Cricetulus griseus: one gene and its partner. The protein of the gene in region 1 binds, or shares a complex with, the protein of each later gene. Links are inferred from orthologs where the notes say so. Each region holds a gene or a part of one and is shown on either strand. Other genes may lie near its edges.

Region 1 (3,823 bases):
GAGTTAGTCTTTGCGGTGTCAGTTGAGTGAGGGTCATGAAGGTAGTCTTGGGCACTGGTTTTCTCGGACTTTGTTGTTGTTGTTTGGTTGTTTTCCATTTTGGTATCATTACTTAATCAGTTTCCAAAGTAGCTGTTTCCCTTGTGGCATTTTTCATGTCTACTTAGATTTAGTTGGCTCTCCTTCCCACCTATTGCTGTTCCCCATCTCCCGATCATCATCCATGTTTTAACCCCTCCGTCCCCTGCCTTCCCCTTTCTCCTTCAAATCACTGGTGTTCTCTTACCCCACCCACCCGTCTCCCTTTAGGCCTCCATTTTGTATTTTCACCAGTTCCTTTCTAGTTTCCTGGCCTCTGTCCATCTTCACTTTCACCTAAACACCAAGATATGCATATAAAAAGCTAGAAACTAGGTCCTACCTGTGGGAGAGAACCTGTGGTGTTTACCTTTCCACACGTGGGAGACGTGGCACATGCGTACAGTGAAATTGTATCCAGCTGGAAATAAAAATGAAGCCAGTAGAGGAATGGATGGAACTGGACAACATATGTTTTCTCTTGTTTTTCACAGAGAACCAGAAATGCCCTGAGAGACCCAACAAGAAGATGGAAGTTCCCCATTCCATACATCCTGGCTGACAACTTGGGTAATGGAAGTCTTTCTTAACTAGAAATGGGTAAACTTTTCTCTCCCTTTTCTCCTGCTCATCAACTTCAGACCAATATAAAGAGCCCTGAAGATTCTTTATCTCTTGGGAAGAAAGCCATGATATTTCTTTATCCAATCAAATAACAAGTCAAGGTTTGGACGGATGACTCAGTCAGCAAAGTGCTTGTTTTGCAAGCACAAGGACCTGAGTTCGATCACCAGCATCCAAGTAAAAACTCTGGCAGGCTGACTCATGCTTGTACTCTCGGTGCTTGGAAGGTAGAGACAAGTGGGTCCTTGGGGTGGGCCCAGCCCAGCCTCCTTCGTGAACTCCAGGAGGAGAGACCCTGCCTCAAATAAACTGACCTGCCCCTGAGGAACAACACCCACAATTGACTCCTGACTTCCATATGCTCAAACTTGTACATGTGTACCTGCCTCAACACAAACATGCACATTCGTACATGTGCATGTATGAATGCTCTCTCTCTCTCTCTCTCTCTGTCTCTCTCTCGCACACGTGCACACACACACACACACACACACACACACACACACACACACACAGTCAGATATTACTGCACATGTTAAAATGTTAGTATAATCAGGAACAACACAAAGAACAAAACTGTGAGATAAAATTTGACACCATAGTGGTAAAATTTTGTGCTTCATTGGTACAAAGGCTGAGCTGAGTACAGATTGAGGATACTATTTCCAGCGTATCGATTTCTTCTCTTCTTTGTTGTGAGAGGAATATAGCATGTTTTGGAAAAATAGAAAGCAAATATTATCCATGTTCAAGTCCCTTTTTCTCAACATTAATAATTTTGACTTTCTCCTTTCTCCTTTCTCTTAAGATAAAGATCTGTATACTTTGTGTTTTAGTCACTGATTAATTGGTAGTAAATAAATGACTATTAGATGCAATGAATAGGTACTGGCTGATCCTCAAGTGACACTCCAATAAGAACCACAATGACACCTTGTCTGCAAAACCTACTCTTCATTGATAGAGAAGATGAGATGGGACAGGGGAAGCCAGGCCAAGGTTGCATCATTTGCAACAGACAGGCAGGCATGGCAGAGGAGCAATAGGTAGGAACTTATATCCTGATCCTCAGGCAGGAGGTAGAAAGAGTGACACTGGGCCAGGAGTGGGCTTTTGAAATCTCAAAGCTCCCCAACCAGGTGGCACACCTCCTCCAACAAGGCCACACCTCCTAATCCTTCCCAAATAGTACCCCTAACTGGGAAATAAGCATTCAAACACATTTGCCTATGGAGACCATTCTCATTCAAACCCCACATCCCACTTGCTGGCCCTCCTAGGCTTGTAGCTAAATCATAGTACAAAATGCTTTCAGTCCGACGTTACTGTTTTATTTTTTTTAACATATTCTAGATATTGGTTCTGTGCCAGATAAATAGTGTGACAGTTTTTAGGCTAATTCTTTGCTCTCTTGACTTGACTTCTTGGCTGTGTGGAAGCTTCTTAGTTTGTTACAATATCACATATAGTTTTTGCTTTTGAGGATCTTGCTCTGGGGTTCTCAGCCAAAAATCTATACAGATGTGTTGAATTGATTCCCCTAAGCTGTCTCCTGGAAGCAATGTGGCTACCCAGGTTGTCCAGTGCCGTTTATTGAGAAACTCCTTTCTCCAATACATGCTTTAGTGCAATGGAAATAATATAGTGTTCAAAAATAATCCCATGAATTTTACAGTCAACTATTATCAACGAGGACACTAAGGACTCCCTTCCTCCCTCCCTCTCTCCCCTCATCTTCCCTACCCTCCCTTCTCTCTGACAAAATCTTACTCTGCAGCTGAGGTTGGCCTTGAACTGAAATCAGTTCTCACAAGTGCTGAGATAATACATGTGAACAGACCTGCCCAGTTAAGGACTATTTCCGTAATGATGTTGCTATTACTTTATGACTCTCCAACCTGGTACTTTAAGAAATGAGAACCATGATGTAATCATTTGGCAGAATTCCAAGGATTATATTTTTTTTAGTTAAAGCATAAAATGAAATGTGCAAACCCAAGGATTTCATTTTCTATGACTTGGATTAATTTTTAATTAAGCTCTCTACCTCCAGTGAGTTGATGGTAGGGAAAAAGAATGCAAATGAAGTAAAATATAATCTCAATTCTCTGGGAGTTCACTCCTTTCCCACCTATCCTTGCCATGGGTAGAACTGTACTTGCATGGTGCTGGCTGGTTGGTCTTACTACTTCCTACTGCTCTCACTGGGGAAAAAGGTGACACCCCATGTTGTTTCTTTGCTTCAAGAATATTCACACATCTCTCTCCTCCGTCTAAGAGGAATTTAAAAAAAAAAAAAAAAACAATGGGCCTTACTTAGCCCACATTGGCCTTGAACTCCTGATCCTTCTGCCTCCTCCTCCCAAGTGCTGAGAGTATAGGCATAAACCAGTATGCCTTGTTTACACGGTCATAAGGATGCACTCAAGACCTGAAGCAAGCTAGGCAAGCTCTCTACCAGCTGAGCTGCATCCCCAGCCTGGGAAGATGTTATTTTAGTGAGTGGGTAGGACCACTATTTCTATATCTTCTATCCAAGGTACTGCACCCACACATACAAAAGCCAGAGTGACTTGAAACCCATATCTGTTTCCTACTTTGCCACGTGACTCTTCTCAGGAAAAGCACTGAAGGAAAGAAGAAAAAAAGGAGAAAAAGGAAGATGTTGTTCTATGGTTTAGCTCAGCTTTGTACACATGCATGAGCTACTACCCTGCAGTCCCATTTGTGTTGATGATCTAAATTATGAACCAGCACTGTGTATGCAACTAACTGCAAATTTTGTTTCCAAGGAATTGAGTTATTGCCCAAAAGAAAAAAAAAGAGAAAAGAAAAAACTCTTCTTGAAACCTCAGTGTATTTCATATCCATGGTACAGCCTTCTATAAACTATAAGCTGTGTCTGTTATCCAGACTCTCAACAATGCCTGTCAATGTTTTACAGATCTGAATGCCAAAGGAGCCATCCTCAATGCCTTTGAGATGTTTCGCCTCAGGTCCTGTGTGGATTTCAAGCCCTATGAAGGAGAGAGTTCGTACATCATCTTCCAGCAATTTTCTGGGTTAGTATGGAATGTTATAAAGCATGAAAAGAATGTATCCTTCGGTTTGTGAACTGTCA
Region 2 (3,592 bases), on another chromosome or scaffold:
TAGTCCACCCTCAGTGGCACACCTCCCAATCCTTCCCAAAGAGTTCCACCAACTGGGGCCCAAGGATTCAAATAGATAAGCATATAGGAGACATTCTCATTCAAACTGCCACATAAAGATTTACTCTAAGGAAAAAACTAGAGATACATGAAAAAAATAGTTTCAATGTTTAAAAAAATTACATTAAATCTAGTTGTTTGACAAGAGACTTTATTAAATGAAGAGAAATACTAGGTAGCCATAGCCATCATAAAGATAATCATCAAAACAAACAACAACAACAAAGAAAAACATAGAAGATTGTCCAGTGCCATACAAAGATTTTTATAATATATTGCTCAGTGACAAAATAGTTATAAAATATCATATGTAATATGATCTAACTGCTTAGAAGAAAAATATGCATGAGTAGGGAAAAGATTAGAAGAAAATGTCAAAGGTTTGCAGGCAATGAGAACCATTTATGGAGTTACAGGTCGTGGCTCTTTATTTATGTAGTTCTAAATAATTTATTATCTTTATTTTTTTTGAGACAGGGTTTTTCTGTGTAGCTCTGTAAACCAAGCTGGCCTTGAACTCACAAAGATCTGCCTGCCTCTGCCTCCTGAGTGCTGGGATTAAAGGTGTGTGACACCACCACCCGGCTTTACCTTTATCATTTTCTAAAAGTAGTTTTATTTTCAAATAGACAGAAACTGAAGGAGCTGAGAGTGTTTTTGCCTGAGAAGACAAAACTTCATTTGGAGCACATTAAGGGTTCCTGTAAAGAGGAAACAACCAACCTTCCTAATTGAGCCAATAGCAGACCCAGGCAATGGACAGTGCATAATGACAGACCCAGGGCCAGGCAGTGAGCAAGGTGTAGGCACAGGAAGAACTTCGTAAAAAACCACTGTTCCCAAGCTGCACCTGGTTGTTTTTAGGTAATTCAGAGGGAACTGGCTGAGTCATGCCCTCTTTCAAGGCAGGAGCAGGAAAACGTGGTGCAGCTGTGTGTCTACACAGCAGAAAGCAGGGGCTCTGCTCACCGGTGACTTAATACTCACATGTCTTTCTTTTAGCCTGTCGGCTTTTGCCATGGTTCTATGGTTCAAGGATCAGTTCAAGTACCAGCTCTGATTCGAAAAAAGAGTGTCTCTGTGACTTGTGAGTTTTTCGAATCTCAGGTATTTATCTCTCTTTTTTTAAATAGTATTATTAGTGTGTGTTTGCAAATGTAGTATATGAGCACATGGCAACTTGGTGGTTTGTTCTCTCCTTCACCTTCACGTGGGTTCTGGGGCCTGGGACTCAGGCCACTGGGCTTGCAGGAGTGTGGCTTTCCCCAATTGAGCCTCTCATCCTAACCCCGTGATTTCCAATGGAATCAGACCATCTATCTCTAGGGGCCTATTCCCCACCTACTTTTGGTTTTCTCAAGATCCAGGGTCACTTTACTTAGGCCATCTAAGCCCATACCTAAAAGAGAGAAGATTATCCTGCTATTTTAGTCACAGTGTGGCCCTGTAGAATAAAGGAAAACACTCAGAAACAGTGAACTACAAACTTGCCTAGCTCAAGCCTTCAAGGTGCTAAATTCAGTATCTCAGAGCTACCTCTCTCATCTCAGGGAGGCTCACTTCCATGAAAACGTCCAATCCCTAGTATTTATTATGGGGTAGCCTGATCCGACCAGTCAGGCTGCCTGGCCTTCATCCCTGCTCTGCCCCTACAAGCTGTGTGGCCACAGGCACCCACCTTCTGTGTCTGGGTCTTGCTACCCTCATCGCCTGCTGGTTCTGATTCCTAAGGTGGACCCACCTTAGAGAGGACTGGGATGAAGGGTGTCATACCAGGACTGGCACAAAACAAACAATAAAAGAGGCCATTTGCTGCCACACCTGGGAGTAAAGGGGAATCTGAATAAATCCTTAAGCCCCTCTGAACCACTGCTCTGAAAGGAAACAGCAGTTTCTGCAGGCCTTGGTTCCACTTGGCCACTTAACGTGTTTTTTCATGAATCTTTGTATTAGGAGGCCCAGCCCTGTAGCTTCTCAAACTGTTGGTCATGACCCCTTGGCCCTGAGGGGTGGTGGTGGTGATGAATGACCTTTTCATGGGGGTGGTCTAAGACCATCAGCAAACAGATATCTGCAGAATGATTCATATCAGTAGCAAAATTGCAGTTATGAAGTAGCAATGAAAGTAATTTTATGGTCAGGGTTCACCACACATGACAAACTGTATTAAGGAAAGGGTCTCAGCATTAGGAAGCTTGAGAACCGCTGCGGCTGTAGCTGGTTTCTGTAAGCATCCAGAACCTGTAATCCCAGCACTCAGAAGACTTGAGGCAAGGGAGGAAGATTTCCAGTCTAGGCTATCCACGTCTAAGACCTCATTACAAATGCGCAGCCACAAAACTGCTTTGCCTGGAGCTGGCATTCCCTGTAGAATTCCGAATTTGAAAACACTGTTGTTTCAGGCTCAGGTTCCTGGAGATGATAACACTGCTGCTACCCAGGAGTCTAAGAAACTCCCCACGGCGGACGAGGCCCCTCAGAAAAACACCGCCCCCACCAACTCCCCCTCCAAAACTGCTCCAAGAGGATCCGTTCAGCACCTGCCTGACCTGGATGTTGAGAAGCCCGAAGACTCCAAGGAAAAGAGTCCCGTGGAAGCCTTTCCCGTGCAGCTGGATCTAACCACGAATCCCCAGGGGGACACGCTGGATGTTTCCTTCCTCTACCTGGGGCCCGAGGAAAAGAAGCTGGTGGTGCTGCCATTCCCGGGAACGGAACGGCGCTCCACCGAGTGCCCCGGGCCAGCAGAGGGAACCAACCCTCTTATCCTCCCACCCTGAGAATCACAAACAGGGCTTCCCATAAGATGTGGTCCCCTGCACCAGATGAGAGGTGGTGGGAATGGGAAGGAGACAGACGATCAAATGTAGAAAGGCTAATAAAGTGAACCCTCCTATTTGCATCTTGATCTCAGTGTGTGACTGGAAATGGAAATGAGACTAAATCCCCACTCTGGGCCACACTGGTCTTGTTCTGTATGCTGGGGGGTATCCTGTACAAACTGCTCAGACTCCAACTGCCTTTTGGTTTCTCCCTATTTTAATCTTTTAAAGATCTTTACTCATGCAGAACCGACATGATACACATAAGCCAGAATAGCTGTAATATCACTAGATGATTTCACTTAACCGGTCTATTGTAACACATGGAGCACTGCTCTCCTAAATGCTCTTTGTATATAGCTTGTGACTATGATTTCAGTTTCTGGTAACTTTTTGTCTGGGTTGTTTTTATTTTATTTTTAATGATAAAAGGGCAATGTTGTTAGATGAGGTACTTTAGATACCCTCCAGCTTTCTTTTTAAAACTTTTTTTTTTTTTTTTTTTTTTTTTTTGTTTTTCGAGACAGGGTTTCTCTGTGTAGCTTTGGAGCCTATCCTGGCACTCGCTCTGGAGACCAGGCTGGCCTCGAACTCACAGAAGTCCGCATGCCTCTACCTCCTGAGTGCTGGGATTAAAGGCATGTGCCACCAACGCCGGCTTAAAAGTTATTTTAAAATATTTTGTAGAGTATATTTTAATCATATTGCTTC

Evidence for each region.
Region 2: the proteins of Mep1a (region 1) and Fetub are in contact, whole or in part, in a cryo-EM structure (PDB 7UAI), measured with the Homo sapiens proteins. The link is inferred for Cricetulus griseus from reciprocal best matches to the Homo sapiens genes MEP1A and FETUB. Residues at the interface, in NP_005579.2 of Homo sapiens: Asp126, Gly127, Cys128, Trp129, Ser130, Glu131, Val132, Gln145, Gly146, Cys147, Tyr149, Ile152, His155, Glu156, His159, Tyr164, His165, Gln167, Ser168, Leu184, Gly186, Tyr187, His189, Asn190, Asp192, Tyr194, Tyr214, Gln215, Phe217, Ser218; in NP_001362516.1 of Homo sapiens: Phe109, Phe110, Lys144, Lys145, Tyr148, Met149, Thr150, Cys151, Pro152, Asp153, Cys154, Pro155, Ser156, Ser157, Ile158, Ser196, Ser197, Gln198, Trp199, Val200, Val201, Gly202, Tyr205, Phe206, Thr242, His245, Trp246, Phe249, Val250, Ser251.

The regions. Positions count from the first base shown.
Region 1 is NW_023276807.1:29,813,672-29,817,494, reverse strand, and holds part of Mep1a (meprin A subunit alpha), read left to right. Parts: intron 1-572; coding exon 573-648; intron 649-3,646; coding exon 3,647-3,764; intron 3,765-3,823.
Region 2 is NC_048597.1:65,920,962-65,924,553, reverse strand, and holds the end of Fetub (fetuin-B), read left to right. Parts: intron 1-1,061; coding exon 1,062-1,166; intron 1,167-2,461; coding exon 2,462-2,839; downstream 2,840-3,592. UniProt on the Homo sapiens protein: Protease inhibitor required for egg fertilization.